Canis lupus familiaris: one gene and its partners. The protein of the gene in region 2 binds, or shares a complex with, the protein of the main gene of each other region. Links are inferred from orthologs where the notes say so. Each region holds a gene or a part of one and is shown on either strand. Other genes may lie near its edges. The genes, in order: FRAT1, GSK3B and AXIN1.

Region 1 (3,425 bases), on a different chromosome or scaffold from region 2:
CGAGGCGGGGAGGTGGGGGCGGGGGCGGGGGCGGCCCGACCCAGGCTGAGGCTCGGGGCACTTTCTGAAAGCCCGGGGCGCGGCGGGCCGCGGTGGGCACCGGCCCGGCACGTCCCCCTCGGCCCGCAGCGGCGGCGGCCGCGGGGCGCGCGTCCTTAGGAGACTCCAGCACTTGCACAGCACCGGGCGCTTCTCCCGGGCACAGGCGGAACCCGGCAACTCTTCCGCTCTACGGGAGCCCCGCACCCCCGCGGGCGCTGGGGGAACCCTGACCTTGAACCCGAGGAGGGGGACGCAGGGAAAATCTCCCAGAGAGGAAGACTTCGCCGACTCCCACCTCCCCGCGCCGCGGCACCGCCGCCCCCGCCTCCCCTCGCCGGCGCGCAGCCGCCCCCGCCCCCCGTCGCACAGCGGGGGCAGCGCGAACCTTACTCCCATTCAACTCCCAAAAAAGGTCCTTTGATGGCACCGCGTGTTTTGCGTTAAGAACCAGCACCCACAAGACACAAGATGGGTTTTTTAAAGAGTCGTAAATTTTTCAAGTCTGGCAGTTTGAGGTTCTCCCTGAAATGATGGTCTGACTCATGTTCCCCTCCCCCAAAGTGGATCAGGAACCAGCCCTGAAAAGGTAAAGCCAGTAACTGGGGTCACCCTCGTCCTTTGGGCGCGCGCGATCCAGAGACGCGTGGAACGTGGCCACATGGCCGCTGGGCTGGAGGGTCCCACTGGCTCGGCTGCGTGGATCTGCTCGCTGCACCGCGGGGGCTGGCCACGCCGAACGGGGAGTACCACTGGATGTGAGCTTGGGGTGCGCTCGGTAATCTGCCTCAAACAGGGCACCCAAGTTCTTCTGTTTCTCAAACGCATCGGGGGCCCTCCATTAGTTCCCCGCGAAAACATTCGCGGTTTTTCCATTCCTCGTCTGCATTAGCTTATTTTCCCGCTTCCAAAACGCGAGTTCACCAGTCCGTCCGAGTAGGGATGTAGCCCTCTGGGGGCTCCCCTGCCCTCCAGGCAGAGGCTGGCGCTGTGGCCACTCCCGGGGCGTTAGCTGCCAGGGACAGGAACGCCGTCGCCAGTTCGGGGCTGCGCCCTCCTCCCGGACGCGCCGGAGAAGCTGCAGGCCGCCCGAGGGCTGCGGGGAGACGGGGGCTCATGCACCGGGGCCGACAGCGGCCCGGAGAGCGGGCGCTGGGGAAGCTTTGCGTGTATCTGCAGCCGTCGCGAATGAAGCCTCCGCACCGCCTCCTTGATGAGGTTCCCCGAGAGCACCAGCTGCTGCAGGAGCCGGTGCGGGTCGTCGTCGCCGGTGCGGGATTCGGGCTGGGGCCCGCGTCGCTGCTGGAGGCGGCGGGAGGCGGCGGCGCCCCGCAGCCACCCCCGCCGGCACGGGCCCGACAGCGGCTGCGGGGCGGCCCGCTTGTCCGCTCCCGAGGGCCCGTCAAGGCCGGGCTGAGGGGCCAGCGGCGACAACGCGCTGGGGCCCGCGGCGAGCTCGGCCACGAAGTAGGGCGCAGCCCGACCCCGCACGCGGCCGCGGTCCCCGAGGGCGCAGCGCAGGGCCCCCGGGGGCGCCGGGCCCACCGCCTCGGCCGGCGCGGGCGGCAGAAGCAGCGGCAGCGCGGGGGGCCGGGCCTTGTCCGCCCGCACGGCCGCCGGGGGCCGCGGGGGCTGCGGCGGCGGCCCCGGGGGCGCGCACGGGGAGGCCGGGCTGTCCTGCGCCGCGTCCAGCTGCAGCGTCTCGCCGATCTGGGCCACCAGCAGGTCCACCTCGCCCGAGCCGCCCAGCGTCACCGACTGCTCCAGCAGGAGGAAGCTGTCCTCCTCCTCCTCCTCCGCCTCCCCCTCCGCTTCCTCGCCGGCTTCCTCTTCCTCCTCCCTCCGGCACGGCATGGCCCCCCGCCCGGGCACCCGGCGCTGTGCGGCCGGCGCTGGCGGCTCGGCGGCCGGCGGGGCTCGGAGGGCCGCGGGGCGCGGGGCGCGGGGCGCGGGGCGGGGGCCGACGCGGGGGCGAGGCCGGGGCCGGGGCCGGGCCGGGCCGGGCCGGGGCGGACGCGGAAGCCGGAGCCCGCCAGGCACTCGCGCCGCGCGCCTGCAGCAGCGGGAGCCGGAATCCTACCGGCTCGGGTTGATTTGTAAACAATGGGTGACGTCGCGGCCGGGCCCTACCACCGCGCCGGGCCGGGGGGGCGGGGTACGGCTGGGGGCGGGGCGCCCTCCCGGCCGGGGCGCAGGGTGAAGCCCAGCAGCTTCCGAGCTGCCCCACCCCGAGTGCTGCGTGCAGGGGGGCGCGGGGGTGCGGATCGTCGCTCTGTCAGCCGGGCGTGGTTGGCATTTCCCGAAAATGAACACCCGCGTGGACGCGGTTGGTTTCTTCCACACACCAGCACAGACACTTACACCCACACACTCTCCTCCTCTAGGCGCGTCAACTCGTCTGGTTTTGGCATTTGCACTTTGGAGGTCCGGGTGCCAGCGTCTGGGAAGGGCTGCCCCGGCGAGCGAGGCGCGGGCGGAGATCTGAGGCTAGGGATCGGTCCGGAGATTAGGGAAACAAGGCTGACAGGGACGGAAAGGAAGACCGGGACCTCGTAGTTGGATGGGGTCGGGGCGTGGGGAAGCGGTGGCAGCGTTAGAATTGGCAGGGAAAGGCCCGATGAATGCTTCTTGACCCGGAGCATGGGTATATGCGGGCCTGGACTAGGGCTGGCCTTCCTGGAGAGGAGGAGGTCGTTGGTCTTGGGCGGGGTGTGAGCTGAGCTAGAAAGTTCTTTTAAGAATGCCTCAGCAGCTGGGGAGTGTCTTCTCTGAAGGGGAAGCAGGAGAGGAAAACGAGTTGTTTGGATGGTAATGGAGATATGGATCCGTTTAACTCTTCAAGATATCATGGTTGGCTTAATGATTAACCAAGACTTTTTTTTTTTTTTTTTTTAAAGGAAGAGGGATGGAAAAATGATCCCTTACTGTCTTGTTGCCTGGAGGTATTAGACTTATTCAGAAATCCCAAATCAGTGACGCCTGAGTGGCTCGGTGGTTGAGCGTCTCCCTTCAGCTCAGGGTGTGATCCCGGAGTTCCCAGATGGAGTCCCACATCTTGCTCCCTTCAGGGAGCCTGCTTGCTTCTCCCTCTGCCTATGTCTCTGTGTGTCTCATGAATGAATAAATAAAACCTTCTTTAAAAATCTCCAATCAGACCTCACTTTCAAACTCTACACTTGTAGATGGACTTTTGGTGGCCCAGTCTTTAAGAGCCAACCAGGGGAGATATATTAGCAGGCTAAGAAAAATATTCAAAACCGGATTATGGTGATGATTGAATAACTTAGTAAATTTACTGAAAATTATTGAATGTTCTCTTAAAATGAATGAATTTCATATATAAAATTATATGTCCATAAAGCTGTTTTTAAAACTAGCCATGATGG
Region 2 (4,367 bases):
ATCTTGTTCATCAACATACAATAAATCCCAATGTCTCTTGAACTGCATCCAAACTCTTAGAGGCCCCCTCTGCTCTCCATCAGCTATGGTTAACACATTTCCCATATCCTATCTCTTATTTTCCTATTTAGGCCCCTTTAATTCAAATTTACCAATTTGCTTGGTAAGTACAAAAATTATCTACTTGCCATAGAAAAATCACCATCTCCGTGCCTCTGTCCATTCCTTCCATCTAGAATCCTTTATGCTTCTCTATGAATTCAAGTGATTGCCTCCTTTAACACCTGTCTTAAAACACATCGCAGCAGCAAGTCTTTCTTTCCTCTCCAACCCGAAGGCCTCACCCCTGTATTCTTCATCCCTCTGAACAAAGCATTCTATTTGTATTTATAATCTTGCAGTCATCATGCTATTGTTTTCATATTTTGTACCATACTGCTTCTACGACTAAATGATAAGCCATTGGGGCCATTAATTTCTCTACATATCTCTGTTTTGAACAAGGGTCCTTTATAAAACAGTAGCACTGTAACAAATGTTTAAGGATACTTCTTTCTTCTAAAATGTCCTTACCAAAAAAAAAAAAAATCCTTACAGTTAAGATTGTCAAAAACACAGAATTAGCATTGAACTCCAATTTTTAAATGTTGACCCATATGAGAATAGAAAATTAAACACCTTTAACCTATGCACTTTACAAGAGTTACTCCATCCTCAGTCAACATCCACATTACCAAGAATTAAGGAGTCATTTTCAAAGGAAATCTTGGAAACAAAATGAAAAGTCCAAAAATTAACATTATAAGCCATTCTGTTTTGCTCTCTGAAATTGATCTAATAAAATAATTACCTAAAATTGATTTCAAGTGGTTTTTAAACTATATTACCAAGATGAAAAACATACAAACACTCCAGTACCACAAGAGGCTCTTAAGTAGCTATTATAAGATTTGCCTCATCATAGCTGAAAATTACCCCAGAATTTTAAAATATTCCTTTCAAATGACCCCATGAAGTGCTTAGAAAGCTTGACTCTTCTCTGAAAAATGCATCATCAGCCCCTTTCTTCACATATCCTGCATTCTGTACTAATCACAAAAATAAGTAACTTTAAAAAATGACCTGCTATTCAGCTACTACCTTAGACCACCCTGTTTCAGGCATGTCCAAAAGGCAACATGAATTGAAATCCTGAGCTCAATTAAAAGTGATAAGTTTATATTGCTTAAGGATATAATCAATTTCACATAACAGTATTTACATATTTTTTTTAAAAATCTCAGTTCTTTCCTTATCCTAGGCAGCAAAATAGTTTCTTTGCCCTCACTGTGCCCCCTTCTAGAGGAATAAGGAAACAATGTAGATATTTTTGTCAAATTCTGGAAGTGCGGTTTAAATAAGCTGTCGCTAAATACCACATAAACATATCTACAAATAGAGATACTTTGGAACACTAGATACTTAGTATACCAAACACCTCAAGAACACAGACTATTAGCACAAATCTGGGACAAAGTACAGTCTAGCAACAACCCTGAACACAAGCTCAAATACCTTATTATGTCCCGGACTACAGCTTTCTGCAAAACCTGTGACAGAAAGGTCTAAATCCAGATTGTTATAACTAAATCCATAGTTTTCTCTAACTGCGGCAGGAAACCAATGCAAGAGTATTTTAAATACTATGGTAAATAGTCCTTAGAAGGGGGCCCTTGAACTCCAGATCATTGAACAAGTGCTGAATGCAAATGGCACCCCAAAACTGAACTTAATGATGAGTCAGTGACAATTAACATTCAACTTAGTATTTGGCAACCTGACAAGACAAACCTCAATCAAAACTTGGCCCTACTTCCAAGTTACCTTTTGATTAAACATAAATTATATAGTGGTAAATTGGTAATGTCAAAACGAGGAGGTTAAGAGATAACATTAAATCGTGTATCCAATTAAAACAATGCCTGTAGCAATACAACTGCTACTGGGTCTCTATCAGCTCCCACCGACCCCTTTCTAAAGGGAGAACTCGAGGCTCTCCTCCAAACGTGAATACGAGTTACTGAGCAAGTTCATCTCCGGATTAAGAACAAATACTTTGTAGTCACACAGGCAACAAACAAATGTTAGGAGACTGTGACACTTACAGTCCTTCTAGCAAGTACACGAAACTACGATAATCCCCGAGGCCTGAGCTGAAATAACCCTCCTTCTAAAAGACACGTACTCGGCAAATGTACATAATAATTTGAATCGTCTTGTCCTTCCCCCCCCCCTTTTTTTTCCGAAGGGATGAGCAACTATTTACTTTCATCGCCGTTTTAACATAGAAACAGTCAAGCACACTTGATAAGGCGGACGACTAACCGCACAAAAAGTGTAAGAAACAAGTTCCAAATCAAATCGTGCAAATAAAAAGCATATTCTCTCAATTCAAGGTTAATGAGACCGGGGGGGGGGGGGGGGTGGGAGGTGGTGCGGGAGGAGAAAAAGAGGGAGCTGCCTAACCCTGGACTTAAGACAGGTTTTTGCCCTTTTCAATACCTCTGATTATTAGTATCAGGAGGTCTAATGTTTTAAGATCCTGGTTACTAAAGGTTTCTTATTTTAAGGGTGAGGTGGAGAAGGGGCGTAAAATAAAATCAATACTCACTGCTAACTTTCATGCTGCCAAAAGCTGAAGGCTGCTGCACTGGCTTGCAGCTCTCCGCAAAGGAGGTGGTTCTGGGCCGCCCTGACATGATCACTCTCTTCCCGAATCACCCTCTTTTCCTTCCTTCCTCCTTTTCTTCCTTTTGTTTTATGTTGGGGTGTTAGGTTAACGATAAATGCAGCATTAAGTTCTCCCACGAGAAGATTAAAAAAAAAAAAAAAAAAGACTTCGTCCTCTTGGCTTTTCGCTCCTTTTGTATAATTAAAAAAACAAAAAAAAAAAACAAAAAAAAAAAACGAGTGATGTATTTCTCCTTCAAGACAGACCAGTTTGGATATTTAACATATAGATGATTTGGGGCTGGGGGGAAAAAAAATACAATTCTTTCCCCTCCGTTTCCTTGGAAGGGAGGAAGAAGGGGGGGGGGGTCTTAAAAAAAATATCACGTGAAACGGGGGCAAATACTTGATTGAAAAGAAGTACTTTGAATATTATATTTTCCTCGGGGATTTTTTTTCCGAGTCAATGAAGAAGGGAAGCGGCGGAAGGATCACGAGTCTCACGCTTGAAAAGAAGGGGGGATGGGAAGGAGGGAGGGAGAGGGAGGGGGTGGCTCGGTGATGCGACGGGAAACGCTGCGGCTCCGGCGGCGGCGGGATCCGGCGGGCTGGCGGCGGGGGCCCGGCGAGCTGGAGGGCGGCGGAGTCGCGAGTCAGTCAGAGGCGGGCGGTGGCGGCGGCTCCTCGTCTCATTGCGCCAGGAGCAGCTGCAGGCGGCGGCTGGATCCAGCGGCCATGGCGGCGGCGGCGGCGGAGGCAGCTCCCTTCAGACCCCAGGCGGCGGATCCTCGACTGCTCCCCATACGCCGGGGACATGGGAACCCGGCAACCGCTTCCGTCCCCGGGGGCCCCCTCCCCCGTCCGCGGCACCAGCGCGGCCGCCCTCCCGCCCCTCGCCTCTGCTCGGTGCCCGCTCAGGAAGTGTCCGCGCTTTGCCCCCAGCCCGGAGCCCTGTCAGCGGCTGTGGGGCCGGCTCCTCCTCGCTTCCTTCCTTCCTTCCTTTGTCACTCGGCCCGGGCGACGGCGGCGGCGGCGGCGGCGGCGGCGGCGGCAGCACAAGCCTGCATTCGCCCGGGTCGGGGGCTGCTCTGTGTGAGGAGCGCCGTCTGCGCAGCCGCCTAGCTCTTCCCCACTCCCCCTCCCCCCTCCTACTCGTCCTCCGCCTCCTTCCTCCCCCACCCAGCCTTCCACCGCCCAGCGCCCCGCCACCCGCGTAACAGGCGTCTGGGAATCGCCGGCCGAGGTCCGCGCCCGCCCGCTTCGGCGACGGAACCGAGGCCGGAGGCACAGCCAATCACGGACGTCGGCTGCCTGCGGCTCCTCCCGGAAAAAGCCGATCGGCCCGAGGAACCAATTACAAAGTGTCGCCGGAAGTCCACGCCCAAAGAGCGGAAAGTGCCGAAGACCGCCGAGCGAGAAGAAGGTCGGGGCTCGTCCCGCGGCTGGCCAGCGGGGGAATCCGACAATGGCAGCGGCGGCCAATCACAGCCGCCGGCCCTCACCGAAAGGCTGGAGGAGTTAAGGACGGCGAAACCCGGAGTCACTGGTGAAACGGCGCGGCTGGGCGCCCCGGCCGCCTTCGTAATTGGCCGAAAACTCCGCTGGGAGTGTACCTGCTTCGGGGATTGGCGAGGCGACGGGGGCTTCCGACGACAGTC
Region 3 (3,596 bases), on a different chromosome or scaffold from region 2:
GTCTGTGCCTGGTCAAACATGGCCGGATCGATGAGCTGCTTGACGATGCAGTCCTTTATGAAGCTCTTGGTGGCCGGCTTGGTCTGGCGGGACACGATGCCGTTGTTATCGAGGATGTACTTGCGGTAGATGGCCTTGGCCAGCTTCAGCCTCTTCTCCTCGTTCGAGTCACAGGGCTCCAGCTTCCTGAAGCCGCTGCAGGCAAACCAGAAGTCCAGCAGGTCAGCACAGTCCTCCTGCTTCAGGAAAGTCCTAAACAGGTTTATCCCATCCTGATCGTCCAGCAGGGAGTGCAGCGACTCGGCCCACTTCAAGTATGGCGGGGTGGGGGAGGCGCTGCCCTCAGGCTCGTACCCCAGGTCCAGGTCGGAGCGCCTCGGAGTGGCTGCTGAAGTCTCACCTTTGACCCCGGCACCTTTCCCGGAGCAGAAGCTGTGGCTGACGGGCCTGGGGTCTGTGGACACCAGTTCACCCTCCTCACCAGGCACTGGGGGGCGTGGGGCATCTTCGGTGAAACTTGCTCCGAGGTCCAAAGGGAAACCCTGCTCTTGGATATTCATTTTGGGACTCTGTGCGTCAATGAACAATGAGCGCTGCACCCTAATACATCAGTACTTATAGCTCCAAAGTGAATCAATCTGTCCTGTTGAAACCATTAAGAGGACAAGGATTAGGAAAGGTGGGTCCATGGAAACATGACCACAGAGGTTTTCTCAAGACAAGACTCGTAATGATGCCCTCCCACTCGAACTCAAAGCCAGAAATTCAGTTTAAATTTTCAGTCTTTCGTCACAAGGTTTATGCTATATTAAAACAATTTGTGAGAACTTTTACAACCACAGGTACGTCTCTGGATCTCAAAAATGAACGCCTAGAACAGGGACACAGAGTGCCACTCCCCTCAGGTGTCTTTCTGCCAGAACATCACGGACACAAGCAGCCTGGGGACCTCCCATCTCAGCCACAACAAGCCCTTCCCTGCAAGCTCTGGGAAGCCAACAGGCCCGGAGAAAAGAGATGTGCTTTCTAGTGTTCCGGGCTGCAAAAACTGGGACGAGAGCCGGTTCCTCACACGTAAGATGAGGATGACCGCCCTACCTGCGATGCGGGATCACCGTGATACTCAGGTACGGAAAGGCAGGCTCGCCGCACAGCACACGGCAGATAGTCATCTGCTCCCCACACCTGTGGGCCCACGGCCACTGTGCTTTCTGCCTACCCCGTCGCTGCACGCCTCATATGCTTCCTAACGTGTGCAAACACGCAAGGACGTGTTCCTTGAGCTCTCAACACACACCTGTACGAACAGTGGTGGGTCACCCAAGGACTCCCCACACACATGGTGGCCATCCCACATCACAGTGTGGACAATATTAAAACATGCTTCCACCACAAAGCTGCCTCTGACCTCGCCTATAAGGAAAGCGCCCTCCTGATAGCAAATAGCAATTTAGTATTCTGAAGAACGGAGGAGACCCGGAAAAAGAAAATGAAGTCCAAATGCAATCACAGCTTTTAACTAAGCGAGCACACAGCTCGCGTGATTCACCTCCATAAGCTCAAATCCCAACTACACATCCTCTCGGGGGTTGGGGACTACAGGTTGCGTGGCTGCTGCGACAAGCCCCCCTCAGGTGTGAAGGAAGGCTCTCCCGGGTCGGGACTCTTTCACGGTCTCCGGTCCTCCCTGACATGCCCCACAGGAGCTTGCCCACGAGCTGGGCTGTACCGCCCCACCTGGCGGCCCGCACTCCTCAAGGTGGTCTGGCTAGAAATGGGCTGGAGAGAAGCGTGTCAGCTCCAAGCACCCAGAGCACTGAATAAGCCAGAGGAAGAAAAATAAACACCTTAAATCTAGTACCAACACCAAGGGCAGCCCTCCCCGCCCACCGCTCCCCACCCCTGGCCACCAGGCGATCCGCCCCCACAGCTGCATCCTCACACTGCACGCACTGCGTGTGCCAGCAGATGCTGATGGCTAGAAGCGAAAAGCCCCCAGAGACAGAGAACGGGTCACAATAACGTGCCCCAGGTGACATTTCTACAGCTAATGACTTCTCGTGAAAACTACCGGGCAGTATGTAATCTCAGCAGGAACAGCCTGCTTCTTAAGGTCAAGGCCCACGGGCCGGGCACCCCGCTGTCACGGACGACTCCGACGACGGCAAAGTCCCTCTCTTTGAGCCCTGTCAACGTGAATGGGCACCTGTGGTGTCTCAGCTCCACACTGGCTCATGGACACCTGATGTCGTCCTGTTCAGGACGCCTTCTTAGGAAGGAGGGCCCGCGCCCAGCGCCCTGAGCCCTACCCTCAGACACATTCCAGTTCGCCAGTCCTGAGAAAGAACCGAGTCACTGCAATTCAACGGGAGCTTAATTACAAGTCACCGTCGCCTGCTCTGGAGACGCAACTATCTCCCGTGTAAGTTACTGGTAGCAGCCTGATTAAACGTTTTCTGCAGGACCCACAACACCTAGCACACTTATTCACTGGCACGAACACATACGACAATTGTCATAGATGCCAAACGTTAGCCCTCCATAGATGCTGAACTACAGCAGGACAAAAACAGCAACAAAACTCAACATCTACCCCTTTATTCACAAAGCTGGCTATCTTTAAAAGCTAACATTTTAATTCACGTGTGAACAAGGCTCCCCCCCACACCGCCCTGATCATTTTAAACTATTTTTCATTGCCCGCGAGAAATAGCTCTTATAACTCACATCTGTTTTCGGCTGTCAACTGACAGACGATCCTCGGTGGCCCCAGAAGCACAAAGACACCTCTCCAAGTTACTGACATTATGGAAACACGCTCTGATTCCCGCCGTCCCTAGGTTCCCACAGCAGAAGCACACCCAGCGTTTTGGTGTACGCACGTGCATACCACACATAAAGCAGTTACGTTAATTCAGGTCAGAGGCAAATGCCCACAAGCCTTGAATCTGGCCAACAGCCTGGAACCACCATCAATAAAAGGATTCCATAAAAGTCCTCCACGGCTCCGACGAATGCTCTACAAGGCTGATAGGGCATTTAAAATCTCCTGTAGTCACTGCTGAGCCATACCCCCGTGGAGCCACAGCAGCCAGCTCCATGCTACACGTATAGACACATGTTCATCCCACTAAAACCTAACTTCATAACTTTTGATTTATAGGAGCCTGGAAGCAATAGAGCATGACTGCGACGCTGTCCTGTCCGGTACCTAAACCCTGAAAAGCTTAGGGCCGCTGTTCCACAAGGTGATCTGCTCCTCCACCTCCTAAATTTTCAAGGACCAATGTAGCCCAAAGGACTCCACTTACTTTTCTGACTCTAGAAACTCAAGAAGCGTCCACACCTCCTGAAAATCCCACAGCAACGCCGTTCTCTGCGCGCCTGTCCATTCTCCTGCCTGAATGTCAGGTTCTCAAAACTGAAACTCAGGGCTAGCACCCGAGTCCAGGTTCAGACCATGTGTGTTCTCCAAAGAAGGGCCTCGAAGCAAGTGTCCGGAGAGCTTCCGTGCAGAAGCAGGGTGAGCACGGGGGCAAAACGGAGGGGCAGGGATGCGCGGCAGGGGCTCCTCATAAACCACCCCAGACCTGCGC

Evidence for each region.
Region 1: the proteins of GSK3B (region 2) and FRAT1 are in contact, whole or in part, in a crystal structure (PDB 5OY4), measured with the Homo sapiens proteins. The link is inferred for Canis lupus familiaris from reciprocal best matches to the Homo sapiens genes GSK3B and FRAT1. Residues at the interface, in NP_001139628.1 of Homo sapiens: Tyr216, Ile228, Phe229, Ser261, Gly262, Val263, Asp264, Leu266, Val267, Ile270, Lys271, Thr275, Pro276, Ile281, Tyr288, Thr289, Glu290, Phe291, Lys292, Phe293, Pro294, Ile296; in NP_005470.2 of Homo sapiens: His200, Leu202, Leu203, Leu206, Val207, Ser209, Gly210, Asn211, Leu212, Ile213, Lys214, Glu215, Ala216, Val217, Arg219, Leu220, His221.
Region 3: the proteins of GSK3B (region 2) and AXIN1 are in contact, whole or in part, in a crystal structure (PDB 4B7T), measured with the Homo sapiens proteins. The link is inferred for Canis lupus familiaris from reciprocal best matches to the Homo sapiens genes GSK3B and AXIN1. Residues at the interface, in NP_001139628.1 of Homo sapiens: Ile228, Phe229, Val263, Asp264, Leu266, Val267, Ile270, Lys271, Asn287, Tyr288, Phe291, Lys292, Phe293, Pro294, Gln295, Ile296; in NP_003493.1 of Homo sapiens: Glu384, Pro385, Gln386, Phe388, Ala389, Glu391, Leu392, Ile393, Arg395, Leu396, Glu397, Val399, Gln400.

The regions. Positions count from the first base shown.
Region 1 is NC_049249.1:10,818,426-10,821,850, reverse strand, and holds FRAT1 (proto-oncogene FRAT1), read right to left. Parts: upstream 1,937-3,425; 5' UTR 1,894-1,936; coding exon 1,048-1,893; 3' UTR 512-1,047; downstream 1-511. UniProt on the Homo sapiens protein: Positively regulates the Wnt signaling pathway by stabilizing beta-catenin through the association with GSK-3. May play a role in tumor progression and collaborate with PIM1 and MYC in lymphomagenesis.
Region 2 is NC_049254.1:24,302,891-24,307,257, forward strand, and holds the start of GSK3B (glycogen synthase kinase-3 beta), read right to left. Parts: upstream 2,896-4,367; 5' UTR 2,739-2,895; coding exon 2,651-2,738; intron 1-2,650. UniProt on the Homo sapiens protein: Constitutively active protein kinase that acts as a negative regulator in the hormonal control of glucose homeostasis, Wnt signaling and regulation of transcription factors and microtubules, by phosphorylating and inactivating glycogen synthase (GYS1 or GYS2), EIF2B, CTNNB1/beta-catenin, APC, AXIN1, DPYSL2/CRMP2, JUN, NFATC1/NFATC, MAPT/TAU and MACF1.
Region 3 is NC_049227.1:40,628,593-40,632,188, reverse strand, and holds part of AXIN1 (axin-1), read right to left. Parts: exon of another isoform or gene 3,312-3,596; intron 644-3,311; 5' UTR 561-643; coding exon 1-560. UniProt on the Homo sapiens protein: Component of the beta-catenin destruction complex required for regulating CTNNB1 levels through phosphorylation and ubiquitination, and modulating Wnt-signaling.